Caenorhabditis elegans: one gene and its partners. The protein of the gene in region 1 purifies or fractionates together with the protein of each later gene. This does not show direct contact. Each region holds a gene or a part of one and is shown on either strand. Other genes may lie near its edges.

Region 1 (6,230 bases):
AGGTTGGCAAAAAGCTTTTCGCAGTTTTGACTTCTTCCGCTGTGGGATTTGTAGTCTCCAAACTGCATGCAAGGTTCAACTCTGAAAAATGTGGATCTTATCGGTTTTTGGCATTTAAATTTACTTTTTAAAATTTCGAAATCATCGTGAATTTCAAACTTCTTGTCGAACGAGAACAGAAATTCGGATTTGTCTGATGATACACTGCATTCCACATTTGCTCTTAAAAATAGATATTTGAGACTATTATAATTTTGGAATTTCAACTTACTCTTTATCAGTATTAATTATTAAAAACGGAAGATGAAGTACAGTGTCGTTTTCTGGGCGACCATTTTTGCTGAAAATTTAACTTTTCTAAAATATTTAACACTCAAACGTACTGCTCATTTTTTCTATTCCGTTCGACCAAATTTTTGTAAGAAACAATTTGCAATACCATTTCTTCGAGAGCCTGCTTTTTGGAACTTATGCTGGCTTCCCGTCGCGATTTCTCTTCTTCCAATCTCGAAATTTCTTGTGAAGCTGAAGCAGGAAGTCCAATCCATCTGATATCTTTCTTGCTTTTTGTGATGATATTCATTGCCAAAAGAACGTTCAACGCATCGTATACTCTCCTCCGAATATTTTTCATATCGTATTCTTGTTTCTAGAAAAAAAAAGTTTTTTTTCAAAAGAAGAAAAACAAACTTCTTACCACAACATCAATCTGCTTGATAAGATTATTTTGAAAGTAATCTGCTACCAGTTCATCAGCCACTTCATTGTAATTCGTCAATCCTTTTTCTTTCACCTTTTCACAAACTTTCGTGGAAAAATGTCTGAGTCCGGTTGGTTTGTCAGATTGTTGACCTCCTGCTCCACTAGATCCTCCAACTCCCGAAGGTTCATCCCAGCCCACAGGTTCATTGTGACTCTCATCTTGGTATGAACGAGGAAGACCTGTAGGCATTTGAACAATTCGTCTTCCCATACTCAGGGATACTTGTGGTCGACTTTGTGCCGGTTGGCCGATACGGGGATCGTAGTTTGTCTGCAAATGTTAGTTTAATATAATATCGATTTCTTATTTTACAAACCGGGTTCATTTCTACAGGACCTGCCTGGACGAATCAAGATTTTCGATTGCTTAGATCTGTAAATGATGACTTTGATTACGAGAAAAGCTACGAAAAGTGTTAATTATAAGAATAATGAATGATATTTTGTTGCCATCGTAAAAAACTGATTCTTTTCTGTTCTAAATCTAAATTTTATCGGTTTTTAAGAACGCTGCAATACAAACGTTAACCAGAACAATTTTTGATCAATACGTGAGAGAAATCAATAATATTCGGAAGATGGAGGAAAACAGAAAAAACCCAAATTTGAAGACGCGCCGTGCGTTGCGAGACCCATCAATGACGATAAACAACGCGAGAGGTGTCAAGGCGGAGTGTTGTTGCTGAACAAAATTTTCTTTTTTTTTCGTTCGACACTGAAATTTCAACAAATTGCAATATTCTTGTTGGAAAAAGTTAGCAAAACAAGAATTTGCTTTTAAATAAAAATTTATTTTGTTTTCCTGCTACGATTTCAAAGACCATAACTATTTTTCTCTTCAAATCGATTAAATCTTCTTCTCACCAAAAACTGACCTATTCTCATTTCAGACAATCCGGAAACGATGCTCGGATGGCCTTATTATTTTCCTAGTTCTCGGACAAGCGATTTATTTTATGTATTATGCCCCAGCATTTCTCCAGGTTTGTTTTTAGAAATTGTGTTGCTGTTAAAAGAGTCTCTTGCATTTCAGTGGCTTCTCTTCGATCTCACCTCAATCTGCGCGGGAATATGGACTAACATGATTGCATTCGTATGTGGATTTGGGATTGTTAATTTCTATGCTGGAAAAATGAAGGTAATATTAATTTCAATAATATTTAAATTATTTTAAAAAAATTTTCTCAGATGTTCCATTACACCGCTTCGATTTTGGAAATAATAGGAAAGGTTCCTTATTTTAACGATCTCATGTGGAAAAGAAGATCTCAAATAAAGTAACAAAAAACATCTCATTTCGGAACTTATCATTAAAAATGTTATTTTCAGATTCACAATGATAATCACCTTGCTTCTGTCAGTCAGTATGTTTATATCACGCGATTGGATTGTTGTCAAAGAAAAGACCATCAAAATAAAAAACTTCACTGCTGATGGAAATCGATTAAAATTGGCAGTGATCTCTGATTTGCACGCTGGTGCAAGTGTTTATTCGGAACAAATCAATCAAGTTGTCGAAAAAGTGCTTGAAAATCCAGTTGATGCTATTCTGATTGTTGGAGATATGGTAGATGCTCCTGTTGCGGAAATCGAGGATAGAGTTCGACCAATTCTGTAGGCGAATTAGTTTGATTCACAAAATTTCAATTTTTGTTTTCAGTCAACTCCCTGCTCACGCACCTACTTATTTCGTAACTGGCAATCATGAATATTATTATGGAGACGTTCAGGAATGGATAAGATTCTACAAAAATGGCCGTATTAATGTTCTTGAAAACGAGTAAGTTTTACAAAGTTTTTGAGTTTTTCTTGGAAGTAACAGTGATATTTTTCAGAAGTACAATGCTGAAAGGAGTCTGTTTGGCTGGAGTAAACGATATTTCAAGTCCGAAATCTGGAATCTTGAACACTAAAATGGATCTACCAAAAGCCATCCATCGATGTCCATCAAATACTTCTCAAATCGTCATGGCACACAATCCGGCATCAATTCGAGAATTCATCGTAGATCATCCGAAAGAATTATCAGAAATTGATATTGTCTTATCTGGACACACTCATGCAGGACAATTCTACGTAGTTATTCCAGTAGTTTATTGGCTTCTACCATACTTTTATGGACTCTATGAGATTCCATTTGGAGGTCAATTGATGGTAATGGCAGGATCATTGTATCAAGGACCACCCATGAAAATGATTGGAATGAGCGAAGTTTGGGTGTTGGAATTACTGGGAGAATAATGTGTTGTAAAATGTAAAATTCTCATTAAAACGGTTCGATGACTATTTTCTGTATGATTTCGTTGTAATTTATTTGATCTGTCTGTCTGAAATAAAAGTGTCTTCTTTGCTCCAATTTATTTTAACATTATTGATTTTACCAGTGTTCGGAACACTGTAATATTTTATTTATACAATCATTCTAATTATATTTCAATTCCTGTGATTTTAGGGTTTATCGACGCTTCAATTCTTTTGGAAAATGTCGATTTTGGCAGAGCCGAAGAGAAAACAAAAAATTAGTATTGATCCCCAAAATTTGACATGGAAAAATGACGATCAGAAGTAAGTTTTCTCCTATCAATAATCAGGTTTCATCAACATTTTACAGACTGTCAAAAAAGCTTATGGAGAAAATGGGATGGTCCGAAGGAGATGGCCTGGGAAGAAATCGTCAAGGAAACGCAGACTCTGTGAAGCTCAAGGCAAATACTTCTGGAAGAGGACTTGGTGCTGACAAAATGGCTGATTATGATTCTACATGGATTTCTCATCACGACGATTTCGCCGATCTTTTGGCAGCTTTGAACAAAAATAAAGAACAGGAACCAGAACAAACGGAAGAAGAAAAGAATGCAGCTGCGGAGAAGATTTCCATTGAATTGAAAAGCAAATCGATTAGGAGAAGAATTCAGTAAGTTTGAAACATCATTTTAAAAAAGTATAAGTATATCAATTTTTAGTTATCAAAAATTCACTCGCGCCAAGGATACAAGTAACTACAGCGATAGCCACAAAAAAGGAATTCTTGGATATGGAAGACTCAAATCTGACAATGCCGAAGAGAAAATCGAAGAAAAAACTGAAAATTCATCTGTAAAATCTGATAGTTCTGATAGCCAAGCTGACAGTCAAGAGAAAAAGGAGGGAAATAACACTGTCAGCACCCTATCCGTCGGTGACTATTTCGCTGCAAAAATGGCTGCTTTGAAGGCAAAACGGGAGGCTGCAGCTGCTAATCAGACAGAAGTGAAAATGGAAATAAAGACTGAAGTGGAGGAAGAAGAATCGGATGAAGAAAAAGCTCGTCGAAAAGCCGAAAAAAAGGAGAGAAAACGATTGAGACGAGAACAAAGAGATAAGGAAGAAACTCTGGAAACAGTTGAAACTATTCTGGAAGTAAAACAAGAAGTTAAGGAAGAAATTATTGATGAAGAGTTTGATGAAGCTGAACGTAAACGACTGAAAAAGGTAGATAAGCTATTTTTAGAAATATGGTTGACAGCAAGGGTGTCGTTTTTCGATTTTTTCGATTTTTCGATTATTTCGAGGGAAAATCGAAAAACGAAAATGTTCGATGTTTCGATTTTCTGAAAAATCTTAAAGTCGAAAAAAATGTTCAGAAAATTAATCATAAAATAAGATTTAAAAAATCTAATTTAGCTTATATTGATGAAGGAACGTAAAAATTTCTTTAAAAAATAAGGAAATGACCAAAATTTTAAGCTAATTTTTTTTTAATTGAAAATTTTTTCGAAATATCGAAAAATCGAAAAAAAAACGAAAATTTCGATTTTTTGTTACATACTTTGAGTAAGTCACAAAAAATCGAAAAACCGACACCCGTGGTCGACAGTATCTAGTGCTAAACATCAAATACCTGACTTTATTCTTGCACAAAAAATATTTTGATTCCCTGAATTCGATTAACTTTTTTCAAAAAGTTTATCAATTTATTATCATAGCTTCAAATTGAGTGATAATATTATAAACATGCCCATTACCGAAAGTGTCATCTTGACAAGGTTGCACTTTTATCAAAATTGTCAAAATTATTTGAATAAACCTCAAATTGACACATGTTCCAGGAAAAGAAACGTCTGAAGCGACTCCGCGAGCAGCAACAACCGGAAAATGAAGGAGCTGAAGGTGGGGAGGCAGATGAAGAAGAAATTCCAAGAAAAAGAAAGAAGCACACCGAAGATGAGCACTAACTTCCATACCGACTAAATTGCCAAATTTTTTGTTTTCAATTTCTATTGTTACTGTTTTCCGTTTTATTGTTGTACTACTCGTATACTCTGTTTCTTTTTTCCTTCTGCTACACTTGATAGATAAAACAAACGTTTTCTTGGCTTGTGCTCCCGTTTTCTTGTTGCACGAAAATAATTAGCTTGCTGCTCTTTCTGAAATTGACTCCTTCGGGAGTGGGAGTAATGAATAGAAAGAGGAAGGAGGAGCTGCAAAAGCAGAAGAAGAAGAAGAAAATGAAATTGAAATTGAAATTGGATTAGTTGTGAAGAAGCAGATTCGCCGAATTTGAACAAAACGTAAAAGTCTGCAGCTGCAACACTAAAAAATGTTAGCTGTTCGAATTTCTAAAAGGGTAAGTTGGATTTTGAATTTAAAATTTAGATATCTGTCAAAGTTTTAGAGTTTTATTATGATATTGTAAGTGAATTTTTAAAAAACGTTACCAATTCCAGATGGTAGGTAACCTCTACATCGGAGCAAATGTTAAACAAAGAGCACAACTTGGAGAAAACTATTTAGAGGGAACAAATGTGGTAGCAGTTCATGGATTCAAGCAAATAGGGCTTGTTGCTCAGATATTAAAGGATCATGGTGCAAATGTAGAGGAGTTCATGTGTGATTTGAAACACTCCTCGGAGATTTCAAAAGCGGTTAGGTAAGATATCAAATTAAGAAAATCGATTTTTTTCTAAATCTGACAAAGACGTTTTTTGGGCAAATACTGTTTAACTACGAATTCCGCATTCAGATATTTCACTGCGTTGATCTTTTACGTGTTTTGGAAAGTCGGTGACTACAGAGATCTTGTTTTTTGGAAAACGGATCAATAATCTTATGAAAAGAATACTGATAGTGAGAAATTATAGGGATTAGTAACGGTAAGTACCGAGGCACGAAGTCAGAGTTGGTTCGGTTATCCTTCAGTGGGGCACTGACTGGTGGTTCAACTCCTTCAGTGTGGGGAGTTGTCCACACACCGGGGTGATAAGGGATACCCGCCGTATGGCAAAATCCCGAAATTTTTAGTTCACCAGCCTTAACACCCTGGTGACGGTCCTATGGGGGTGCCGGCCGAAAGGCAAAACTCACATTTCGGGGGCCATTGTGGACTGACTACGATCTATCTAGCGATCCCTATTCATGATTACAGCAGAATAGAAAAAAACCGGCAAATACTTTTAATGTTTCTGGATTTTTTACCAGAGAGCAAGAGA
Region 2 (9,589 bases), on another chromosome or scaffold:
AAAGTCGAGATTTTCGCACAAAAAATTGAATTTTGAAAACCTCAAAACTTTTTCAGCGGTCTCGTTATGAAAATCAGGTAATTTCAGCATTTAAGCAGCATATGTATCATGTTTCAGAAAAAGTTTAGGTTTTGTATTCCCGTAATCCATCATATTGCATTGCCCACTTTCACCGCTACTTGCCGACTGAATACACAATTTTTTAACTTGGAAATTGTTTTAGCATCTGCAAAAAATATTTATTTATCAGTTTTAATAAGAAAAAAACGGGAAAAATCTGTGAAAAAATAAAAGAAAACAGGCGGAAAACAAAGCAAGATAAATGACCGCTGAAACTTGTCGGCCCCTACCACTATTCCTCGTCCCTCGTGAGGAAAAAGTTGCAGTGTTTTTCGGTTAAAAACCTCGAATTTCCGAGATTTGTCGATTTTCTTCGGAAAAACTATGTACTTTAACAAATTTACAGGGATTTTTTTGGAAAATTTCTGGAATTTTCCAACTTTCTCGCAAAAAATTTAAAATTATCGATTTTTTGATAATTTATCTATCAAATCAAGTGGCAGAAAGGAGAAAAACAATAAAAAGGGCAGTCCGCACGTGCAGAATTGAAGAGAAAGAGGACCTCAGCCAGGGTGAGAGAGTGTAGAGGGTGTGGAGACGCAGACACTGAAAGAAGGGGGTTCAGAGATGTGGAGAGTGCAGAGATGTTGGTGTGATGAAGACTTGGCAGTGTGCCAAATGATATTTTTTATGGAATATGATGCAATTGTGCTCTGTTGATAATTTTTGGGGTGGCAGGATTCTTTTGGGGGAAATTATTGATTTTTTTTTTCTTTAAATTTGATTTTTCTATAAAAAAAATTGGATTTTCTATAAGAATTTAGATAAATAATAGTTTTCTTATATTTGCTTTAATGATTTTTCGGCACAAATAACAGATTTTTTCAAAAAAAAATTTTTTTTTACTTTTTGGGGATTTTTATCGGAAATTTGAAAAAAACTGAAACTTACGATTTTGATGCTTCTTGAAACTATTATTTTTCGAAACTTTTTTCAAAAAAATTCTGGAAATTATTGATTTTTGTCCTAAAAATTTTTAAAACCCCGAAATTCTATCGAAAAATAATTCAACATTTTTAGATTTTGCGTGAAAACTCTGTTAGAATATCGACTTTTCTGTCAATTTTCAATTTTTTTCCGCAAAAACTGCCAGAATTTCCTCAAATAGTTCATTTTCGATTGAATTTCCAAATTAATCCGAAAAATCGATAATTTTTTGATTTTTAACTGGATTTTTCGATAGAAACGTTAACTTTGCTGACTTTCTAAAATTTTTACAAAAAAAAACATTTTAAAAAACGTTGGAAAACACATAAAATTCGAGTTTTTCGGCTGGAAATTGGGGAAAACACAAAAAAAAACAAAATGTTCTACAGTAACCTTGAAACTGCGCGTCGGGTTAGATGCATTGATACGCAATTGCGTACAATGCATTTTACTTGCCGCGCACACTTTTTGGAATTATTTTCAGCAAAAATTGCAATTTTTCAAGTATTTCAGCGAAGAAATTGAAAAAAATAAGATAATTGCAAAAATACAAGCGGGTTTTAAAGTTTTCTTTTTAAAAATCTCAAGTTTCTCAATAAAAATATAGAAAACATGTTTTAAAACAGGAATAAGCGAAAAACTATTATAATTTATTGATTTTCGCCTCCAAATCACGCTAGAAAATCAAACTGATGATCATGACAGAAAGAAATGATCGTAAAAATTGCGCTGACGACGTCACGCGACCCGCAATAAGACACACGGAGGCTAAGCACAAAATATAATGTGTTTTTTTTTCATTTGAATCTTTTTTTCAGACTTCAAAGTACGGCGTGTTGATATTGATGATCAGAAGAAAAAATCAAAACAGAAGAAAAAACAAGGACAATATAATTAAGAAAGTTGTTTTTCAGAACTTTGATCTTTTAATCTGTGTTGAAAGGTTCCCTGAGTTGTTTTTGATTTAAAATCTTAAAAAGTAGAACTAGAAATTGTTATTTTTATCAAATTATCAACAATTTCCCATTCGAATTCTCCAGGTTTCCATCAATTATTATTTTCTCGTGATTAAATCCACGTTCCTTGGCGCACGAGAAACACGCCAGCTATCGTTTGCTGGCGCGTTTCTCGTGTTGACGCGTTTCTCGATCGTTCCAACTTGCAATTTTTAAATTCAATTTTTGCCGAAATTCACTCAATTTTTAGCGATTTTTTTCGAAATTTCTAGATTTTCAGCTGAAAAATGACCACGGTCCGCCAGAGAATCGATACACAACATCGTGACGCAATTGTAAGTCGGAAAATCTGAATTTTAGCTAAGAAAATCTATTTTTTTTTTTTAAATTCTGAAAAATTGCAGCACGACGCTCAGCTCAACATCTACGGAAGCCGACTCGCCACGTGTGGATCTGACCGTCTTGTGAAGATTTTTGAGGTCAGGAAAGGCGAAAAATCTTGGATTTTCTGCAAAAATCCCAGAATTTTCATAATTTCAACGCAAAAAAAAATATAAAAATATTACAGGTTCGCCCAAATGGCCAGTCATATCCGATGGCGGAGCTTGTCGGACACAGTGGTCCCGTTTGGAAAGTCTCATGGGCTCATCCGAAATATGGAGGACTTCTTGCCTCCGCTTCCTATGATAAGTACGGAATATTTGGAAAAAAAAACGGAAAAATGATCAAAATTTGCTAGATTCGATCAGAATTTCATAAAAATACGCTAAAATCTCTGTTTTTAATCGGTTTTCAGCTCATTTTTTGGGTTTTTTGCCAAAAATTGGTTAAACAGAGTGATTTTGGAAGAAAATGGACACAAATATTGAAAAATGCAGCCTATTTCTGAAATTTCAATGAGTTTGATCATTTTTCACCGATTTTACGCTATTTTCCCTTTAAATTCACGGATTATTTAAAGAAAAATCAGTATTTTCGGTCAATTTTCACAGTTTTTTTTTGAATTTCAAGCCTAATTTCCCTCAAATCCACCAAAATTTTAAAAACTTCAACGGGTTTTATGAAATTTTTACCGATTTTCTGCAATTTTTTCCCGAATTTTAGTCGATTTCTGCCCCGATTTTTGTAATTTTTATCGATTTTATTCAATTTTCATAGTTTTTTTTTCGGAATTTTGAGCCAATTTACCCCCCAATCCAACGTTTTTTTCTGGAATTTCCATGAATTTCAGTAGTTTTTCACGGGTTTTTTGCAATTTTTAGCTCATTTTGCTCTAATTTCAGGCATTTTTCATCAATTTTCACAGATTTTCAGCCAATTTTCCCCCAAATGAATCGATTTTCTTTCCAGAAAAGTGATAATCTGGAACGAACAACAAGGCCGCTGGCAAAAAGCCTACGAATGGGCCGCTCATGAGGCCAGTACGACTTGTGTGGCCTTTGCACCACACCAATATGGCCTAATGTTGGCTTCTGCCTCTGCTGACGGTGATATCGGTATTCTTCGATACGACAATTCGAGCAACGAATGGATTTCGTCGAAAATTCAGAAATGTCATGAACAAGGAGTTAATTCAGTGTGTTGGGCACCTGGAAGTGCTGATCCGGCGGCAAAAAAACGTCTTGTTTCAGCTGGAAATGATAAAAATGTCAAGATTTGGGCTTTGTGAGTAGAGAAAATGCACTGAAAATCGATTTTTTAGATTTTTTAGATTTTTTTTGACCCGAAAAACGTGAAATTTTGACGTTTTTTCGATGGAAAATACAAAAACCGCAATTTTCTCAGGTTCTCAAAAGTCAGATTTTTTGTAAGCCTAAGCCTAAGCTTAAGCCTACGCCTACGCCTAGGCCTAAGCCTCAAATTGCCAAAACTTCTCGGAAAAAAAGTCGTAAAATTTTACTTTTTTTTCAGCAAAATTGGCAGATTTTATGAAATTTTCCCAAAAAAGTTGTATTTTTGATCCAAAATTTGTTTAAAAATCACAAATTAGTGCAGTTCTTACCGGAAATTTTTGAAAAATTCAAATTTTTCCCTCAAAATTACCTGATTTTTTGCTAAAATCACAAGAATTTCTGAGATTTTTCCCCTGAAAAAGTCAGTTTTTCTGGGATGAAAAAATTCGCAAAATAAAAATTAAATTCGGATTTTTTTTAAGGCCTAAGCCTTAGCCTAAGCCTGAATTCCAGAATTAAAAAAAATTTCCTTCTGAAAAATCAATGAAAAAATTGTTTTTTTTTCTGAAATTCTCAAAATTTACAATGTTAAAGTTAAAAATTCGACCCAATAGCGTATTTTTTCACCGAAAATTCTCAAATTTCTTAAATTTTCACCTGAAAAATCCCATTATTTTGCCAGTGACGACGCGAAAAACGAGAAAAAATGGAAATTTTTCGCCAAAGTTCCAGATTTTTCTAGAGTTTCCTTTGAAAAATCCTTTTTTTTGACAATTTTTCCGTGAAATAACCCATTTTTTCACAGTTTTCCATCAAAAAAGACTAAAAATCCGACCATTTAATAAATTTCTTTCTAAAAAATTGTAAAAGTAAAAGCGAATTCTACCCGAATTTCAGATTATCGTGTTAAATTCAAAATTTCCAGGTTTTGGATATTTTTTAACAGATATTTGTCGAATTTCCTGGATTTTCCCCCTGAAACATCCAATTTTTCGGTTTTTTGATTAAAAAAAAACTGAAAAAATCACTCAAAAAATAATTTAAACTTGAAAATTTGTCCCAAAAGCTGTTTTTTTTGCAAAAAATTCTCAAATTCCAGATTTTTCGCAGTTTCATTTCAAAAAACCCCCAAAATCGGAAATTTTTATTAATCTTTTTTGCTGAAAAATCAGAAAAAAAGTATATTCTTTCGAAATTTTTGTCGAATTTCCTGAATTTCCTCTTGAAAAATCCATTTTTTGACAATTTTTCCGCGAAATTACCCATTTTTTTACAGTGACGACGCGCTACAAACAAAATTGTTGGTGAAAATTCGAAAAAAAAAAAAAAATTTCCCCATTATAATGCAGAAATTTGGGTTCGCTTTGGAAAATCCCAATTTTGAAGCTGCCCAAAAGCTGATTTCCCACTGAATTTTGTCGAATTTATTGGGGTTTCTCACTGCAACTTTTTCCTCACGAGGGACGAGGAAAAGTGGTTTCTAGGCCATGGCCGAGGGGCCGACAAGTTTCAGCGGCCATTTATCTTGCTTTGTTTTCCGCCTGTTTTCTTTTGTTTTTCATCGATTTTTTTCGTTTTTTCTTATTAAAACTGATAAATAAATATTTTTTGCAGATGCTAAAACGATTTCCAAGTAAAAAAAAAATGTATTCAGTGGGCAAGCAGCGGTGAAAGTGGGCAATGTAAAATGATGGATTACGGGAATACAAAACCTAAACTTTTTCTGAAACATGATACATATGATGCTTAGATGCTGAAATTACCTGATTTTCATAACGAGACCGTTAAAAAAGTTTTGAGGTTTTCAAAATTCAATTTTTTGTGCGAAAATCTCGACTTTTTTACCAAAAAAGTTGAATTGTGGAAACCTCAAAACTTTTTCAGCGGACTCGTTATGAAAATCAGGTAGTCTCAGCATTTAAGCAGCATATGTATCATGTTTCAGAAAAAGTTTAGGTTTTGTATTCCCGTAATCCATCATTTTACATTGCCCACTTTCACCGCTGCTTGCCCACTGGATACATAATTTTTTAACTTGGAAATTGTTTTAGCATCTGCAAAAAATATTTATTTATCAGTTTTAATAAGAAAAAACGGGAAAAAGCTGTGAAAAACAAAAGAAAACACGCGGAAAACAAAGCAAGATAAATGGCCGCTGAAACTTGTCGGCCCCTCGGCCATGGCCTAGAAACCACTTTTCCTCGTCCCTCGTGAGGAAAAAGTTGCAGTGTTATTGGGGTTTCCTAAGAAAAATTCATTTTCTTAATGACAATTTTCCTTCGAAATCACCAATATTTTTTCCTCCAGTGACGACGCTACAAACGAATGGATTCTCGAGAAAACCCTAGCCGGACACACAGATTTTGTACGTGAAGCCGCATGGTGCCCGGTAACAAATAATGGACAACATACAATTGTTAGCTGTGGAATGGAGGGAAATTTGGTACTTTTCCGTACTTCAAATATTGAAACTGAAGAGTGGAAGGCGAAATTATTGGAGACGGCTCCGTGTGCATTGTACCATTCATCATTTTCTCCGTGTGGATCATTCCTTTCAGTTGCTGGCGATGATAATGTGGTATGGAATCGAGGATTTTTGTGTGGAATAATGTGGAAATTGGCACCGAAATTGGGAAAATTATGGATTTTTTACGTCAAAAATGGCACAATTTTTGAAAAAAAAAAGTGTACAAAAACAGCGAAAATCATCGCTTCAAAAACGGAAAATTGTCACATTTTTAGCAAAAATCGCTGAAATTTTGGATTTTTTAGCTCAAAATTATGATTTTTCGAGCAAAACCTAGAAAATTCGAAAAAATTTGGAAAAAATAGCGAAAAAAAAAAGCATTTTGGCATTAAAAAAAACGGAAAAAAATCTTACCTACCTCTAGCCGCAGTAGGCATGAGGCAGGTGGCAGGTTTTTGTGAGGAAAATTTTGATTTTTTTTTTTTTTTTTTTTTTGGTTTTAATACAACTTCTATCTTTTTTGCCCGGTTTTTCGTAATTTTAGGAAGAATTTTTCAGAATTTTCGTTGAAATTCGATTTTTTCAGGTGATTTTGATCGAAAAATGCTAAAAATATTAATTTTCGAGCAAAACCTGGAAAATTCAAAATTTTGGAAAAAAAAATCTATTGAGAACTGGCAAAAAAGTGGGAAAACAAAAAATTTTTTTTACCGGAAAATTGGCCAAAATCACTTCAAAATCAATTTTTTTTACATAAAAACCGGCGAATTTCGGTTGAAAAGTATCGATTTTTGAGCAGCACATGAAAATTTCAATTTTTATGAAAAATTTGAGAAAAAGCTACCGAAAACTTGCAAAAAAAGCATTTTGGCACGAAAAATCTGAATAAATGGAAAAAAAATACTCAAAAATTCAGAATTTGCAGTAATTTTACTGAAAATGGCGAAAAATTCGAATTTTCCGATCAAATCACCGGAATTAATTGAATTTCAACGAAAATTCTGAAAAATTCGACCTAGAATTACGAAAAACCAGACGAAATGTTCCCGCCTGCCTAATGCCTACACGTGTGCCTACCGTGCCTACAGGTAGGTAGGCAAATCTTCTTAAAAAAGTGCCGTTTCTACAAAAAAAAGCATATGATAAGCTCTGTTTGCAGGCAGGCAGGCACCTACGCCTAAAAACGCTCATTTTCCAATTTTGCAGATCACAATTTGGCGCGAAAATCTTCAGGGACAATGGATCAAAGTGCCACGTGACAATAAGGAACGCGAGGGAATGAGCCAAGCGGTCGGAGCTCCGGGAGCTCAGAGATAAATAAATTATTTATTTTTTTTCGCTGTTTCTACACCCATAATTCCTCTTAAAACTTGTATATGTACCTGTTATTATTGATTTTTTTCCTCATTTACTTCTCCGAATCCAGATATTTTATGATTTTCCTTCTTTTTCTCTCTCAAAAAACTAATGCGAAACCGGGATGAAGTTTTATTTATTTATTGATTTTTTTCGACTAAATTCAGATTTTCTCTTATTTTTGAAAAATTGGTCGCAGTAGCGCAGTCGGTTACGGGCTGGGCTGGGACGCAGAAGACCGGGGTTCGACTCCGCGTGGTGGGAATTTTCTTTATCTTAGCGTGATTGATACTGTTAACAAGCTGAAACTGAGTATAACCTGCTGGAAACTAGTGAAACTTGAAAAAAATCAGTTTTTTTTCGGAAAAATGCGGAACAGTTTTTGAAAACATGATTTTTACAAATTTCCATGCACATGTTCAAATTTCTCGCACAATTTTCGTTTATTTGACACCAATATTGGCTCATTTCCGAGGATTTTTCGAAAAATTGGTTGCAGTAGCGCAGGCGGCAACGGGCTGGGCTGGGACGCAGAAGACCGGGGTTCGACCCCGCGTGCTGGGAATAATTTTTTTCTTGGTTGATACTATTATCTAGCGGAAGTTGACCGAAATTTGTTAGAAATTAGAAATAATCTCGAATAGTTTGGGTTTTGTGTCATTTTTTTGCGGAAAAATGTCCAAAAAGTAAATGAAAATGTGATTTTCATGAATTTTCATTCAAATTTTTGAATTTCTCGCTTAATTTTTAGATAATTTGATGCCAATATCGGGTCATTTTTGAAAAATGGGACGTGGTGGCTCAACTGGGTAGAGGTCTCGGTGAGACTGAGAAGACCGGGGTTCGACCCACGGGGGCGGTTTTCAACTTTATCAGTTTGCCTTAATAGGTTTTATTGTTCTTTTTTGAAGTTGAAACTCAAAATTTCAAAAAAAATTTTTTTGAAAAAGTACAAAAAAATTTCGACTTTTTTAATTTTTATTTTCAAATTTTATTATTTATTAAAACATTAAAAAAAGGGTTAATTAAGAAAAAATCAATCATATCTCGTCGACGAGTATCGCGTCTCGCGTTCCCCATATACAGTAGTCAGAGATTTCGTAGGAATTGGCCGGACCATCCAGCGGCAGAATAGACGTCGGAAACCATGGTTATACGGTTTTATGTAGTATATTGTGATAATTGGTTGGATAAGGGGGATTACGCTGAAAATTGGAGCAATTTTGAATTTTGAAATTTTGAAAAAAAATTGAAAAAAATTCTAATTTTTTTTTCTAAATTTTTCTAAAAATGTTGATTTTTAGCAATTTCCAACCTTAAATTCAAATTCAGCACAACGAGAGCTTTCATTTAAGTATAATCACGCCTAGGTTCCCTTCACTTTGGGTCTCGCAGCGAAAATCTACAGTACCCTTTGCATTTTCGCTGTGGGACCCAAAGTGAAGGAAACCTAGTCATGATTATACTTAAATTGAAGCTCTTAGCTAGCTGAATACAGATTTAACACTTTTTGGACGATTTAAATGGTCAAAATATAAAAGTTAAAAAAAAAAATTATAAAAAAATTTTTTTGGTAAAATTTAGGAGAAAAATGTAAATTTTTACCTAAAAATTGTGTAAACCAAATACTCGGCAACCGTCAAATTAATAAATTCAAGGTGATATAGTCCATAAAGTGTAATTGGCGGAAACACTAGGAAAATCGGCACCGAAGCCTGAATTGTGAGCACTTGGATGAGTTTTCGATGGCCTTTTTCGGTTCCTTCACTCATTGTCTGAAAATTAAAAAAATAGTTGTAGAAATTGGTTATTAAAAATAAATTAACTTCCAAATTATAATTTTAAAAAACTTAAAAACATTTTTTTTTCGATTTTTCCAAAAACACCTTTGATCCTATCAACTAAACACAATTAAAAGAAAAAAAAAATAAAAAAGATAAAAAAAACTGCAAAAAATTTTGGCCTCATGTGGGCTCGAACCCCGGGCCTTCTGCGCCGAAGCTAACCCTTTTACCCACTGAGCCACCGCGACCCAGTTTTCAAACTTGTCGGAAACTGGCCAATATAGGGGTCAAATGGAGCAGAATTTT
Region 3 (6,845 bases), on another chromosome or scaffold:
GCACCGATAAAGAATTGGCATAAAAGTCTACCATCTTTCCGTTTTCGTTTCGAGTTTCTAATTCGCAGCTTTTCATCAAATAAATAATGGTTCACGTCATTGAAAATCCAGTGAGTCATTAGTTTATGAGCTTATTTGTTCTAAAGTAACTATTTTCAGCCAATTCCATTGACTACACCAATCTATGAGGGAATGAGAGAACATTCATCTGTGGAAATTCATGGAGAAGTATTTCAAGGTCCACAGGGGTTAGTCAAATTCAAAAATTAATTATTTTAGAATCAGGGTAATTTGTTTTAATTACCATATTCCAAATTTTTCGAGTTTCACGGGTGTGCACCTTTAAAGAGTACGGTAATTTTCAATGATTTCTGAACCCATTTTCGAATAAAAACGTATTTTTCCTTTTGAAAAACTTTAATACTAAAACAGTTTGAGATCACGGGAGAGGGGTTATTAAGGAACCACCATTTCATGAGAATGCCTACTTTCTGGCGCGAAAATAGCGACAGCAGAGAGAGTGAAGAGAGTGCCTTCGCTACGAGATATTCCCGCACCAAAACGGTAGGCATTCTCATGATCTGATGGTTTCGTAATAGAAGTTACAGTAATCTTCAAAGGCACTCGTTTCCATTTAACAAAATATCGTCGTGGCGAGACCTGAAGCCGTATTTTAAGAAAAGAAATCACGACATTTTGCACTTGAGTAATAGATAACCTTTTCAATATTACAGAGGATTCACAGTCGAATTTCCCACCAAAAATGGAGTTGCTCTTCATATATCGGTTCGAATGGGTTCATATGGTCAAAATGTGATTGTATTTAATCATTTACAAAGAGGAAGATGGCATCGAGAAGAACATCATCAGAATACAATCATGTTTGGCCGACCATTTTGTATGAGAATTCATAATGAGCACAGAAAATATTCGGTTGGTTCTTCTATTGTTCTGTAATCCACAGGGTCTCATTTGAGGCAAACTCGGCCGTGTGGATTTACGAGATGGTCTCAAAAACGTTCAAAAACTCTCCCGGCTTCTCATCCATGTTCGAGTAATAACGTCGATCAGAGCCATATTCAGTAGACGTTTAAAAATGAGAATTTCGCCACATCTTACACGCAGGGGTCTCGCCACGCGAAGTGACTGTATATCGTGTCGAGCTGCTCGTAAATTGACACGAGCTACAGTAACTCGGTTTCAGCGTGGCGAGACCCATGCGCGTAAAATATGATGAAATTCGCAACTGTAGATGCCTACGTAATAAAACAAATTTAGAAGTTCTAAGTAGATTTTCTTTTTCGTAAATATTGTGAATACATATTACCTTTTTGCGTAAAAAAACAATTTTCAACCCAAAATCAAGATATCGGGTCCTGAAACTTCTCAGCTACCGTACCCACGAGTGTGAAAGACTTTATGTTAAAACCTAATTTCTCTAATTATTTGAGTTTAGAATATCAGATTATTGAACACAGATAGTTTTTTTTTATTCAAACAATATTCTCGTAAAAACAATCAATTTAATTCCAGATCCACGTGGACGGACATCACATCGGACATTATCATCATCATAAATGCCCAAAACGAATCGTTGCAATGACTGTTCGAGGAGATCTTCGAGTTGGAAAAATTCATTTCGAAAACTTCAAACATCATAACGGAGGAGGTTGGTTTTTATCTTAATATTCTGGGGATTTTTTTTTGTTTTTTGATTTCCAATCTTAATAATTCTAGGTACTGAAATCGGTGTAATGCAAATGCCTGTTGCTCCAACTCCGATCGTTGTTGCTCAACCACCGCCTCCAATGATTGTTCCCCAACCACAGATTGTTCCGGTTGTTCAGCAAATTATGCAACCAATGGTTCAACCCATATATCCAAGTGTTCAACCAATCGTGTATCCAACTGCTACTCCAATCATCTATACTCAACCTGAAGTTATCTACATGGACGGTTATCATCACCACCGTCACCATCACTATTGAAATTTGTACTTATTGTGAAAATGAATGAATAAATGAACATGACAAATTGATAGGGACGCACCGTTCATCTAATGTTCATAACTGAGACATGAATATTGAGCACTGCAGAAAAAGTTTGATGACAGAAACAAAAAAAAAAGTACATAGTACTACTGAATTTGAGTTGGTCAAGAGTCAAGAATGATTAAGGCTTTCAAGAATAAATGAATAAATGAAGAAAAAACAATATAACGAGCTAAAATGTGATGGGAACGGAAACAAGAGTTATGGAGGAGAAACAAGAAATAATATGAAGGGATGAGGAAGATTTAGAGAAGATATTACTTGGACTAGAAGATCATTTCTTATTTTTAACCATTTGAACGAGATACTTGAAACGACGAATGCAGGCTTTTTTGGACTTTGTGCCAACTTCTGTTGAGATCTTTTCCCACCGCTCGGGATCACTTGACTTATGCTTCTTGATAGCGTCCTCTAAAGTTTTCTGTTCGGTTGCTGACCAGACATCCTCATCTGGTAGCGCAGTTCCTAGCTGATTTTGAGTAGTTGATGGTAGCTTGACGTTCATCGTTTGAACAGCTTTGCATTGCTTGATAACCTGTTTTTCAGTTTTTGGTGGTAAACCCGTAGAATCCTTGCGATGCTCGTTAATGTAATCGGCAATTTGAACCCATCTCTCCACGGTTCCAGGTGGGAATGTGTTTGAAGCCTTTAAAAATATGAAAATTAATTAATGATTTCCAATCGTTTATGTCTTACCTTAACCAATAATTGAATCTCTTCACTAGTCCATGTCTCCTTGTCGGCTTGCTTTTCATTTTCTTTGTTCTTATCCTCAGTGATTGTGACCTTTGCTCCAGCAGCTTCTTTCTTCAGAATTTCAGCATCTGTTAGCGCAGTTTGAATTTCAGAAGCAATTGAAAGTGATTCGACCTTCTCGCACAGCTCTCTGAGTTGATCAACAGTGAACCCAATGCAAATCCGCTCAATTCTTTCCATTTCAGTGAGCTTATCGCGAGGATTCTCCGTCCAGTGGCCAGCTTCATCAGCGAGTTTCTTCAGACGCTTACGCTGCTGAGACATAGCTTTCTTGGCAATATCACGCTCTTTCTTTTCTCTCTCCTGAAAATAATAGTTAGTATTTAAAAATCGACAATATTCTGGTGTATTGTGCTCACTCTTTCTTCCTTTGCTTTTCTGTCAGCTTCCTCTTTCTGCTTAGCTTCGGCTTCTTCCTTTTCACGCTTCTCACGGTCGATAGCTTCTTGCTTTTCACGGATGGCTCTTTGCTTATCTTCCTTTGCTTTATCTTTTTTCTAAAATTTAAAATTGAAAATCCGGCAAAGTTTAGGCAAAGTTTATAGACTTACCGCTTGCTGTTCCTTCTTGAACTTGATAATTCTAGGATCCTTAGCATAAGCTATATCAACCAACTTTCTAATTCTCTTCGCCTCTTCTTTCCGCCGTCTTTCTCTTTCTGCCTTATTCTGTTTCTCCATCTCTCGTCTTTCGTACCGATCTTCTCCTCTTTCCTTGTCTTCTTCGTCCAAATACGAGAACTCGCGCCATGACTGGAAGTTAAACCAAAAATCGTAGAAATTCTCGACATCCTCCCGGGTCGCATCTGATTTACCAAGTTCTGGCACTGGCTTGATATTGGACCATCTGGAGTTTAATTGGAAAACTGGAGCAAGTTCGTTATAAAAGTTATTATGGTTGATTGATTTCTCATTTGGAATAATATCGTTGAATTTATGATCGACCGAATCGAAAGCTTGACGTTTGACGTCAGACATTCCAACTTGTTCATAAGCTTTTGTGATACAAGTAAAGTATTCTTCCTTCTCCATAACAATTCCACGATGCTTCTTCTTGTCCGGGTGATGCTTCAAAACCTTTTGACGATCTGAAATAATTCTCTTCAAAAAATTCTCACTTCATTTTAACTTACAACAGAAACGAATTTCGTCAGATGTAGCTTGCCATCTGAGCTTCGACAATCCTAAAACTTTGTAGTGATCCTGATTTTTGCAGTCATTTGGATCCAGCTTCATCAAGTACTTTTCATATTTTTCATTATCAGCATCAAAAAGATCTTTTCTCAATTCAGCTGGCTCTTCAGACGACTTTTTTCTTTGCTGTTCCGTAACAGGCTTTGCAACAGGAGAGTTTTTATAGATTGGAAGCGTACAGTGGCCCAGTGTGAGTTTATCTCGAATAAGGCGAGTCTGAAAATGTCAGTTAAGAAATATTTGCGGACATAGGTGATAGTAAACTCACTTCATAGCATATTCCGGCTGGCTCAAAAGCTCTGCTTCGAGCTGTGAATCCATAAATTGCAACTTGTAAATTGCCCGTAGTCATCTATAATTATTAAATTATTTTGAGCCTACTTTAGTCCTAAAACGAAATAAAAGAACATAATCAGCCTAGAAATTTCTGTTTTCTTTTTAAATCGCGTGACCACAGTTGTTCATAAAAGATTTTCAGCAACGAAAGAGAAGAAAAAGGGACATAATCTGAGAAATAAAGCTGAAAAACTACTGAAAATAATTGCGGGGGATTTACGAAAGAAGAAATCGTGCCATGGTTGCAAAATGTCGAGTGCGGCGCGGTTTTAACCGAGTCACAACATAAATTATGGAGACGGAGACACAATGCAAACGCGCTTCGCTGGTCTTTTTTGTTTTTTTTTCTTGTAACTTAAAATGGAAACCTGGAGTGATTTGGATTCATTTTAATTGTTTTTCAGCTTTGTAAGCTCCGCTTTGTACGCGATTGTATGAAATAAAACATGTTATAATTTCAAGTTATATCCAAAATAAGGTTTTCAGATGTCAGAGTCATCGTCAAACTTGAATCCAGATGGAACTGAGTTTCCAGACCCTAATGACGTGCCACCACCATCGGAAGATCAATTGACTGAAGAGGTATGCTGAAATATTACATTTGTAAAAATTATTAACAATCTCCATGTTCAGGATCTATTCCGGATGCGTTCTCTGACAATCAATTCGAAAAAAGGACGTAAGTTTTTTTTCATCGCTTGAAGTTGTTTGGAAAGATAATTATTTTTAAAATATTTAATATTTTTTTAGTTTCAGTTGTTGGTGGTGCAAGTGAGACAGCCGAGCAGTCCATCATATCACTCGCAGATTCGACTTCAAATTTTGATGAGCATGTTGGAGATGATGCCGAGTTGGATTATGAGCTGGAACAAGCTCCTGAAGCAACAGAAGATGGTGCAGTGGTGAACAATCCTGTTTGTGGAGGGTACCATTTCGGAAGGAAAAGAGCAGATGACTTCGTCCCAAATGCCAATACAGGTTTCTTAAAACTCCAGTTCGATGTAACACTGATATCTATATTCTATAATTACAGTAACAGTGCTCAAATGGCCTACAAATCTGGCGATTCCTCCACGCAACCCCGTGCTGAGCGATTCTGATGAAGAATGGAAGAAAGCGATTCTCGACTCCACCATTTATCTCATCGGTACAGCTCACTTTTCAAAAGAGTCGCAGGAAGACGTATCCAACACAATTCGTGCTGTGCAACCTGATTTTGTCATGCTTGAGCTGTGTCCATCACGAATTTCAATCATATCGATGGATGAGGCTCGGCTTTTGAGCGAAGCGAAAGATCTCAACTCTCAAAAAATTATTCAGACCATGAAACAAGTGAGTTCTCATATTTTTGTTGTTGTAATGTTGTAATATTTTCAACTTTTTTAAGAACGGCGCGATTCAAGGAATTCTGCACGTTCTTCTCCTGTCAATGTCAGCGCATGTAACACGTGAACTTTCCATGGCTCCCGGAGGAGAATTCCGTGCTGCTCATCGTGCAGCAGTTGCAACTGAGGTTTGAGTATTTAAAAAGTTTTATTTACAAAGTAACTATTTCAGAATTGTCGTGTAGTTCTCGGTGATCGTCCTATTCAAGTTACACTTCAACGTGCACTGGCTTCTCTCTCCATCTGGCAAAAAATTCGCTTCTTCTTCCACGTTGCATTTTCACATCGTGAGAAGATAACTGCAGAAGAGGTATTTAATTATTCAACCTTTTCCAAAAATATTCCAAAATTATAGGTGGAACGATGCAAGCAACGTGACCTTCTGGAGCAACTTCTCGCCGAGATGGCTGATGATTTCCCACAACTATCCCAAATCTTTGTGGAAGAGCGTGATGCCTACATGACGCATGCTTTGCATATGCTCGTACACCGGAACTCAGTCGAAAAACGTGCACAATGGCTTCGTGGAACAACTGGGCAACAATTTCAACCGTTGACAGTTGTTGCTGTCGTTGGAATCGGACATACTCCAGGAATTGTTAACAAATGGAATACAAATATTGATTTTGATCCACTTATGAACATCCCACCACCAAGCCTCGGAACAAAGGTAAATTAATCTGAAGTTATTTTAATTCTTTCATTTCTTTATTTCCAGGTTTTCTCCACTGGCGTCCGTATTGTTGTCTGGGGATCTTTGGGATATTTGGCTTATCGTGGAGGACGTGCTATCTTCAATCGTGTTAGCACATTCATAGAGTCTCGTTGGTAGGTTGGAAATTTTTGTTTAAAATTTAGTTTTGGGAATGTTGAAATTAAACGATGAAATTAAACGTGAATTTTGCAAAATCAAGGTCGCACAGAGAGAGGCAGCGCGTAGTTTTGCAAGCCTGTGGCATTGTTTTCCACCGTTTTTTGGTGGTTTTTTTTCGATAAGTTCTCAATTTTACTGGTTTCACTATTTTTTCTAATGAAAATGTTACCTAATTCAATTCTCATACGATTATGAGGAAATTTCATGTTAGATTTGTTGTAAAAACGAAGTATTCTCACAATCTTATGGG
Region 4 (7,086 bases), on another chromosome or scaffold:
AGCCGGTCAAGGAATACTAAGTATTGAAAATACTAGCGCCGAATCACTTAAAATTTTCTCAAGACTAGCACAAGCTATGAAATCAGATGGAGCTCTGGCTATTGCTCAAACCAATCACATTGGTGTACAAGCTCAAACTGCTTATACAAACTCTCTTGGAGAGCAGCATATTCTCGTGAAGGAAGTTGCAAATCCGATGAATTTCTCCGTTCAGCAAATCAAAGAAAATGTCCTGAAACGTTTTGCCAATGCTGCATCAGTGCTCTATGAGTCTGGGTTTGATGGGATGGAGATTCATTCAGCTCATGGCATGATTTTCAATCAATTCCTTGCTCCAAAAAATACAAGAAATGATGAATACGGTGGCTCAATTGAAAATCGAGCTCGGCTCTTGACTGAAACATACAAAGCAGTTCGTGAAGTTGTACCAGAGAGCACCGGATTCATAGTAGGAGTTAAATTAAATTCAAGAGATTTTCAAGAAAGTGGCATCTCTCGTGAGGATATTATCAAAGTTTGCGAGCTTATCGAGGTAAGTATGTCTATTTGAATATTCCAATTATTTTAATTACCAACATTTATTACAGAATTCCGGTTTTGATTTCGTCGAACTGACAGGAGGAGCAATGGAAAGTGTTGTGAAGGAAGTTCAGAAACGACATAGTACTATCGCGCGGGAAGACTTTTTCCTAGATTTTGTACAATTCACTAGCAAAATATTCAAAGAAACGGTAGTCTATATAACCGGCCGCTGGCAAACTGCCAACGCAATGGTCACATCTGTGAATATGGGTTTAACGAGTGGAGTTGGACTTGGAAGATGGAGCTGCTCGGAGCCCGATTTCCCAAGAAAACTGATAGCTGGAGAGATTTTCTCGTGTCCTGATCTGAAGTTTGCTCCAAGTGAATTTTTAATCGCTAAGCATGCGGCTCATTTTCATATAAAGCAGATGTCAGAGCATATGTACGATTCACAAAACAGGTGAGCATTTTTTCTCAATTTGAGTCTTTGAGCCTACTTATTACAGCACTTCAACAACAGTTACGGATTTTACAGTGGAAGATGAAGCTAACAATTTCAAAAAGGCTTGTGGAGCCTACAAAACAGAGCTGGAACCAATTGGAGGATACGATCGATTTGCTGGAGTAATTAAATACGTTCCATTGAACAAATCTACCTAATAATTTAGTAAACTATTTTTTGTCAATTTTAATAAATAAATGCTTTCGAACTAACCAATTTCCGCAACATTGCGCATTGTGTGTTGGAATGCCCAAACGACGGCGTCGATGACTGTTCCAAGATCCTCTGGAGGCATTTCCATGAAAACCGGGAAGCACTCTTGAACCAAAGAAAGCACCAGCTCGAAGAAGTTGGTTCGATGCTCGGGGAACGCTTCCATATCCTTGTTGATCATGTCAATGCTGCATTGGAAAACCGCACTGAGGATGCTCGGCACTTGTGGACAGAGGAGAGACTGAAAAATAATTTGATAAAGTTATAATTTTTGAGAAATTTTCGAAATTTAAAAGTTAAGAGTTGAGACGAATTTGAAAATTTTTCTTCAAGCCCTAAATTATTTTTATTTTATTTTAATTTTTTCAAAATTTCAAAAGATAACTGACTCCAAGTTGTGTGACCAGAATGCTGAGCAAAGACAACACTTTCGGCTCTCTCGCCTGTGGCACATTCTTCTGGTAATCGAAGAGAACCGCATCGAACAATGGTGGAACTATACTGTCCAGAATGAGCTTGGCATCTCCGTTCTTTGAAATGAATGTCGATAGAAGGATGAGAATCTCTCGCTTCACAGCTCGCATCGTCTTTACCAATGGATTCTTCAAAGCCTCTTCGCCGGCGGTTGTCACTGCTCGGGACACCTTCTCGGATAGAATTCTAAAAAAATTAGGTTTACTAACAGAACTTCTTTTTTTTTTAATTCTCACTTGTAGAGGGATAGAAGATCACTGTAGATATTTCCGAGTTGGGTTACAAACGAAGATCCAATGGATTTGCAGGCGGCCACATTTGTTTTTAGTATATTCAGGACAGATTTGACCATCTGAAATTTGAATAAATATAAAAGCCAACCCCTTAAAATAAATTACCTCCGGCTCTTCGAGCACACTGTCGTTAGTGGATGCTGCTGCAATGATGTCGTTCCATGTGCGATTTGGGATATCCATAAGCTTCATGATCAGGTCTTCTTGCAGATTTCCATCTATCTGCGCAGAAATGATGTGTCCAACAGCCTCGTAGAATACGTGAACTTGTGCATGAGAAAGATCGCAGATGATTCCAGTCAAATTTTCGAGCATCTCTTCGACGAAAGGCTTATTCTCAGCTGGTTGGACGATGACGAAATGCCTCTTACATTTTATGGAAATCTTGATGAATGTATCACAAGCCATGTCCTGTACACCTTCATGAGTCTCGTGCATGAACTCGAAAAGCTTATTGATAACCGTCTTCAGGAACTTCCAGTGAGCTCGAAGGAATCTCGGGTACTGTCCGACAACATACATGATGTTTGACGCAATCACTGCCTTATTGTCCTTTCCACGTTTCTGTTCACAGAGCCCGAGTAAATCACGAATAACAAGAACAAGGAATCGCTTTTCGTCTTCTTCAACCATCGTTCCAGAAATCGAACCAACAGCCCAGCACAAACGATTCAAATTCTTCCACGAAAACTCTCCTCCGTTCACTTGTGATGCCAACTTTTCAGTCATCTTCACTTCAGTGTCCTTGTTGTCAAGATGAGTCAAATAGACAAGCGTTTCACGCATGTTACGGTACAAAGCAATCGAATCAGTATCTTTGACCATTTCACGAACAACTTCTCCTTGATCATTTTCCACAATCAACACCTCTTCTGGCTTTGCCATTCGAGAAATCATTGTTGAACGAAGTTGCGAGAGGTATTCACGGTAGAGTTGACGACGTGGATGCTCACGAACCTGACTCATCATTCCGTAAAGAGTACTTGGCTGAATGAATGGACATATACGGTAGAGCTCAGCAGTCAACCAGCACCAACAATCGAGGCAAACTTTGAAAACCTCCATTTCTTCGATCAAAGTGATTTTCAAAAGAAGTTGAATAGCATAGTCGTGAGATTCTCGCATTAAAATTTTAGCCTCAGTTAATGGCTCATCAGTTACTTCAATCAGATGAACGTGCTCTTTGATGAACGCGACAAGAAATTGAGCCAGACTACTGATGAGTTTCTGATCCTGATCGGAAGCATCTTTGTAGACAGCAGCCAGGTCGAGGTCCAAAGATAGAACTTGGCTAATGTGGCGCATTGTAGAGCAGAACATTTTGACAAGCTTTTCGTCGTAGCTGGGATCGTTGGTTTCAACTTGAATTTGTGAAATTTCCGTGAGACATTGAAGAGCGATGACACGATACACTTCAAGCGAAAGGAAGTTTTCAGACAGCAATTCCGTGATGTTTGTCTCGAAAACGTAGCCAACTGGAATCCAGGTGAGGAATCGTTGAAGAGTCTTCAAGGTAGCTTGAACCATAGAGTTGGATGGACATTTCTCGAGAATGCTGACACACAGTGTGAATACTTCTTGGAACTGTCCACAGAATTGTTGTTTCAGATGTTGTTCCTTGGCTTGGGTGAGGTTTTGGGATCCGAAATCAAATACTTCTTCGCTGAAAAATATAATAAATGTAGCAAAACATTTTAAAACTAATTCAAAATACCTCAACAAGCTCAGAATATTCATATTGTTGATGCAAACGGTCTCGTTGTTCTTCGATGAATCAACAATATCGGTGATGAATGTTGGCCATGCCTTTGGCCAATCTTGTTTGACAATTTGAACCAAAACGAGGTTCAACTTGTGAAGAAGCAGTTGACTTTGTTCCATGACACTCTGATCAGAAGACAATTCGAACATTTTGGTGATGATGTACGACTTGATTCCTTCACGTTGGACTTGTGGCAACGACTTCCATTTGTGTTGGATGACAGTCTCAAGGATTTGAAGTGCAAAATACTTGGACTCATTTAGCTGCGAATATTGAAGAATCGCATCGACTTTGGTCCACGAATCGCGTTCTTCCTTGAGCGACATGAGGATTTGGTTAGCCTCGGCCTGTTCTTTTCCGCTCATTCGATTCATAATCTCGACGACTTGATCCAAAAGAGTCACATCGATACGGTCACCTTGGGCGAATTGACGCTTCGCTTCAGAGAGCACTTCCATTGCTGAGACAGCCATGTTTTTTTATTGTCGGTTTCTGAAATTGATAGCATTTATTGACCAACACTATAAATATAAAATAACTTACCAGCGATCAAATTTCGCAAAAATCGGCAGTAGTTTCCAGTTCAGTCTCACACACTCACGCACACACAAAACTGGCGGGGTTCAGGCTCTCGCTTTTCGGGCAGAAATCCTGTGTTTCTCACAGTGAAGCTGGAAAATTAGGCCAAAATATCGTTTCACTCGCACACACACTCTCACGCTCTCTCACACAACCGACTGTTGACGATGGGACGATCGATCTAGCCCAGTTCTGAAAATAAGAAAATTATTTTTAAATTTGCAAACCAAAAGGTGTAGAAAATATATGTCAAGAGAGGGAAAAAATATTGACCTAAAGTTTGACAGAAATAAATTCAGAAACGGAAATTGGAGATGGGAGAAGACGAGAGATATTTCTTTCATCATCGTCACTTTTGACAGTCAAATGTTTCGAAATTACTGGATTGATAAGGATCTATTCAAGACTAGGAAGTGAGAAATGCTGAATGCAAAAGTTCGGCCAAACAAATCTCACTGCGAAAAATATTGTGTGCGACCTTGCTGAATTGGGACAGAGCGCGCGATGTTATTGTAAGCAACGGTAAAAAATCGATTGAGGACACCTCGATGAGTGCACCCGTCCCGCTTTGTCTTGTCACGTGATGTGCATGACTTGCGCCCTCTCTTTACGTTCGGAAAACATTGAAAACAAAGCGTAGGAGCTATTGAGGAGGGGTCATGTGATTTTTTTTCGCATGTTTACTTGTTTGCAGATACATGAAGACAGGAGAAGAAATTGAGAAACGGAAGGACCATTCTGAATATTTTTGGCCGAGACGCGCGTCGAAAATGTCGAAATGAGAAAGATTGAATGAAAATAGAAGCAACAAAATCGCCGCACGTGACACACTACACACCTATTATTTGCTATGAGAACGGAAAAAAAACAGCGGTGAAGCAGATTTTACGTGTGAGAGACAAAAAACGGAAGAAGTGGGAGAAATCGTCGGATTCATGCTCAGCGGCCATCCCAGTTTTTATCACAAGACACGCGCCGGCGCGCGCGGGGAAAGTCTCCTCGCGGCCTTTCCTGTTCGAATTCATCGCAGACGCAAAAGAGTACGATGGAGCGCATTTGACAAAAACTTTCGCGGCTGTTGGGTACTCGCGGACCTGATATTTCTGTGTTTGGTGAGAACGGAAACAACGAGTAAAATGTATTTTACTTACTTTTCGAAAGTAGATATTCACAAAAATAAAATGTGCTGTTAAATTTTTAAGTACATCTTAACGAATTATTTCGAAAATAATTTGATTGCGAAATTAAATTCATGTTTATACGCTGTTGTTTTCATCGTTCTTGTGATTTTCAGAAGAAAAATGAAGCCAAACTTGAGAACAAAGCAAGAAAAAATGTTGATAATTTTCGCTAAATAAAATTATTTCCCTTGAAATAAAAATTGGCGTCTAAACTTATCGGGAAACAAATAAAATGTTGAAAAGAAGGCAACCAAAAGTGAGGAATATTTGAAAAAAACAACCGTATCACCTATTTCGCTTCGAGACCTGTGAACGGTTTTCTTTGCATGCGCCTTTAAGATTATGATAGAAAACATTATTTTTGTTTTTGTTTTCAGTACTGCAGTTTTATGGATTCAATTGACAACTCCACAACAATAATAAGGAAGAATTTGAACCGATTCATACGAGAAGTGAGTTTTGGAACTAAAAAACAAAATTATGCGAAAGTTTTCAGCTGACAGATGATGGAAAGTTGGACTTTGAATCAATACCATATCAAAATTTGCAAAAAGAAGTGGCAAATCAGGACGAAGAAGGCTGCGAGAATGTGATAGAAGTATTGCTGGATACTACAAGCGTAAGATTCAAGATTAACATTAGAATTAATTAATTAAAACATTTTAAGAGATCAGGATGTCCCGATAGGAAACTAATTCTGCAACTGTTCAATAGCTTCTTCTTACAATTTCCAATATTTCGGGAAAATCTACTCAATGATCCATCAGTGAGTTTTGTGAAAGCTTAAATTAAACTAAAAAATTAAATTTCTCTAGGAATTTCTCGAATTAATGTTCGAAACAAACCCAATTCGTAACCCACTCCCTGGTTCGAAAAAACATGGAAATGAGCTGAAAGTCGAAGCGATAACAGTGATTAAAAGCTGGGAAAAGGAGAAGTGTGTGAAGAACGATGCAAGAATGAAATGTTTGGTGGTGACGTTGAAGAAGACAAAATTTGTAGACTATGAAAATGGAGCTAAGAAAATTGAAGCGGAAAGAAAACGAAAAAAGATTTTGGAAGAAAGAAAAATGAAAATGATTGAGAATGTAGGTTGGATATTTAACACATATTTAAAGAAATGTTAAAACTTTCCAGTCAGTCAACGTCTATTCTTCAAAATACCACGAGATAAAAAACGATGCGGAGACACTGTCAATGGAACTCACAACTACAATGCAAATGCTTGTTCCATCATTCACTACAGCAGATCCTGAAGTTCCCAGCACATCAACTTCAACACCTTCTGCAATTTCGGACTCAAAAAGTTTCGAGATTTTCATTCCGGATTTGACTCCAGAAATCTCTGTTTCCTCGGAAAATGATGCTATTGTTGAGGCGTTTCTTGGTGCAAAACTTTCGTTGATTCATCGAGTTCAGACGCTCCGAAAGTAAGTATTTGAAATTAAAATAAAAACTAAACAAATGTTATATTAAAATTCGAAACCTCATTCAAAATTGAAATAATTTTTCTTTCAGACTAGTAAAACGACTACAACTGTTAAAACAACCTGGAGAAAA

What was found.
Region 2: the proteins of T23G7.3 (region 1) and npp-20 fractionate together in Caenorhabditis elegans (co-fractionation; one large-scale study listed by BioGRID). This does not show direct contact.
Region 3: the proteins of T23G7.3 (region 1) and dnj-11 fractionate together in Caenorhabditis elegans (co-fractionation; one large-scale study listed by BioGRID). This does not show direct contact.
Region 4: the proteins of T23G7.3 (region 1) and xpo-1 fractionate together in Caenorhabditis elegans (co-fractionation; one large-scale study listed by BioGRID). This does not show direct contact.

What each region holds. Positions count from the first base shown.
Region 1 is NC_003280.10:9,164,815-9,171,044, reverse strand, and holds T23G7.3 (G-patch domain-containing protein), read left to right. Parts: upstream 1-3,214; 5' UTR 3,215-3,244; coding exon 3,245-3,327; intron 3,328-3,373; coding exon 3,374-3,676; intron 3,677-3,725; coding exon 3,726-4,233; intron 4,234-4,850; coding exon 4,851-4,976; 3' UTR 4,977-5,116; downstream 5,117-6,230. Other genes in the region: Transcription factor dpl-1, read right to left, coding at 1-81, 125-222, 272-340, 384-649, 698-1,033, 1,080-1,088; T23G7.2 (Calcineurin-like phosphoesterase domain-containing protein), read left to right, coding at 1,653-1,745, 1,796-1,900, 1,951-2,039, 2,092-2,376, 2,423-2,542, 2,598-3,003; W07A12.8 (DapB_N domain-containing protein), read left to right, coding at 5,342-5,368, 5,469-5,671.
Region 2 is NC_003282.8:1,488,709-1,498,297, reverse strand, and holds npp-20 (Protein SEC13 homolog), read left to right. Parts: upstream 1-2,275; 5' UTR 2,276-2,290; coding exon 2,291-2,338; intron 2,339-2,407; coding exon 2,408-2,482; intron 2,483-2,571; coding exon 2,572-2,693; intron 2,694-3,353; coding exon 3,354-3,668; intron 3,669-5,983; coding exon 5,984-6,254; intron 6,255-7,349; coding exon 7,350-7,460; 3' UTR 7,461-7,645; downstream 7,646-9,589. Other genes in the region: Y77E11A.16 (Serpentine Receptor, class D (Delta)), read right to left, coding at 8,536-8,704, 9,105-9,274.
Region 3 is NC_003282.8:6,583,378-6,590,222, reverse strand, and holds dnj-11 (DnaJ homolog subfamily C member 2), read right to left. Parts: upstream 4,353-6,845; coding exon 4,269-4,352; intron 4,217-4,268; coding exon 3,940-4,216; intron 3,895-3,939; coding exon 3,359-3,894; intron 3,305-3,358; coding exon 3,167-3,304; intron 3,111-3,166; coding exon 2,748-3,110; intron 2,698-2,747; coding exon 2,326-2,697; 3' UTR 2,037-2,325; downstream 1-2,036. Other genes in the region: lec-11 (Galectin), read left to right, coding at 87-110, 160-248, 735-933, 1,534-1,669, 1,738-1,988; F38A5.2 (TraB domain-containing protein), read left to right, coding at 4,823-4,918, 4,970-5,015, 5,087-5,314, 5,370-5,668, 5,724-5,849, 5,894-6,031, 6,077-6,391, 6,440-6,549.
Region 4 is NC_003283.11:7,802,515-7,809,600, reverse strand, and holds the start of xpo-1 (Importin N-terminal domain-containing protein), read right to left. Parts: upstream 4,538-7,086; 5' UTR 4,310-4,537; intron 4,259-4,309; 5' UTR 4,240-4,258; coding exon 3,719-4,239; intron 3,668-3,718; coding exon 2,110-3,667; intron 2,064-2,109; coding exon 1,948-2,063; intron 1,898-1,947; coding exon 1,627-1,897; intron 1,479-1,626; coding exon 1,238-1,478; intron 1,235-1,237; exon of another isoform or gene 1,183-1,234; coding exon of another isoform or gene 1,029-1,182; intron 983-1,028; coding exon of another isoform or gene 588-982; intron 533-587; coding exon of another isoform or gene 1-532. Other genes in the region: ZK742.3 (NADH:flavin oxidoreductase/NADH oxidase N-terminal domain-containing protein), read left to right, coding at 1-532, 588-982, 1,029-1,182; uvs-1 (UV-stimulated scaffold protein A homolog), read left to right, coding at 5,916-5,978, 6,023-6,145, 6,194-6,292, 6,342-6,614, 6,664-6,956, 7,045-7,086.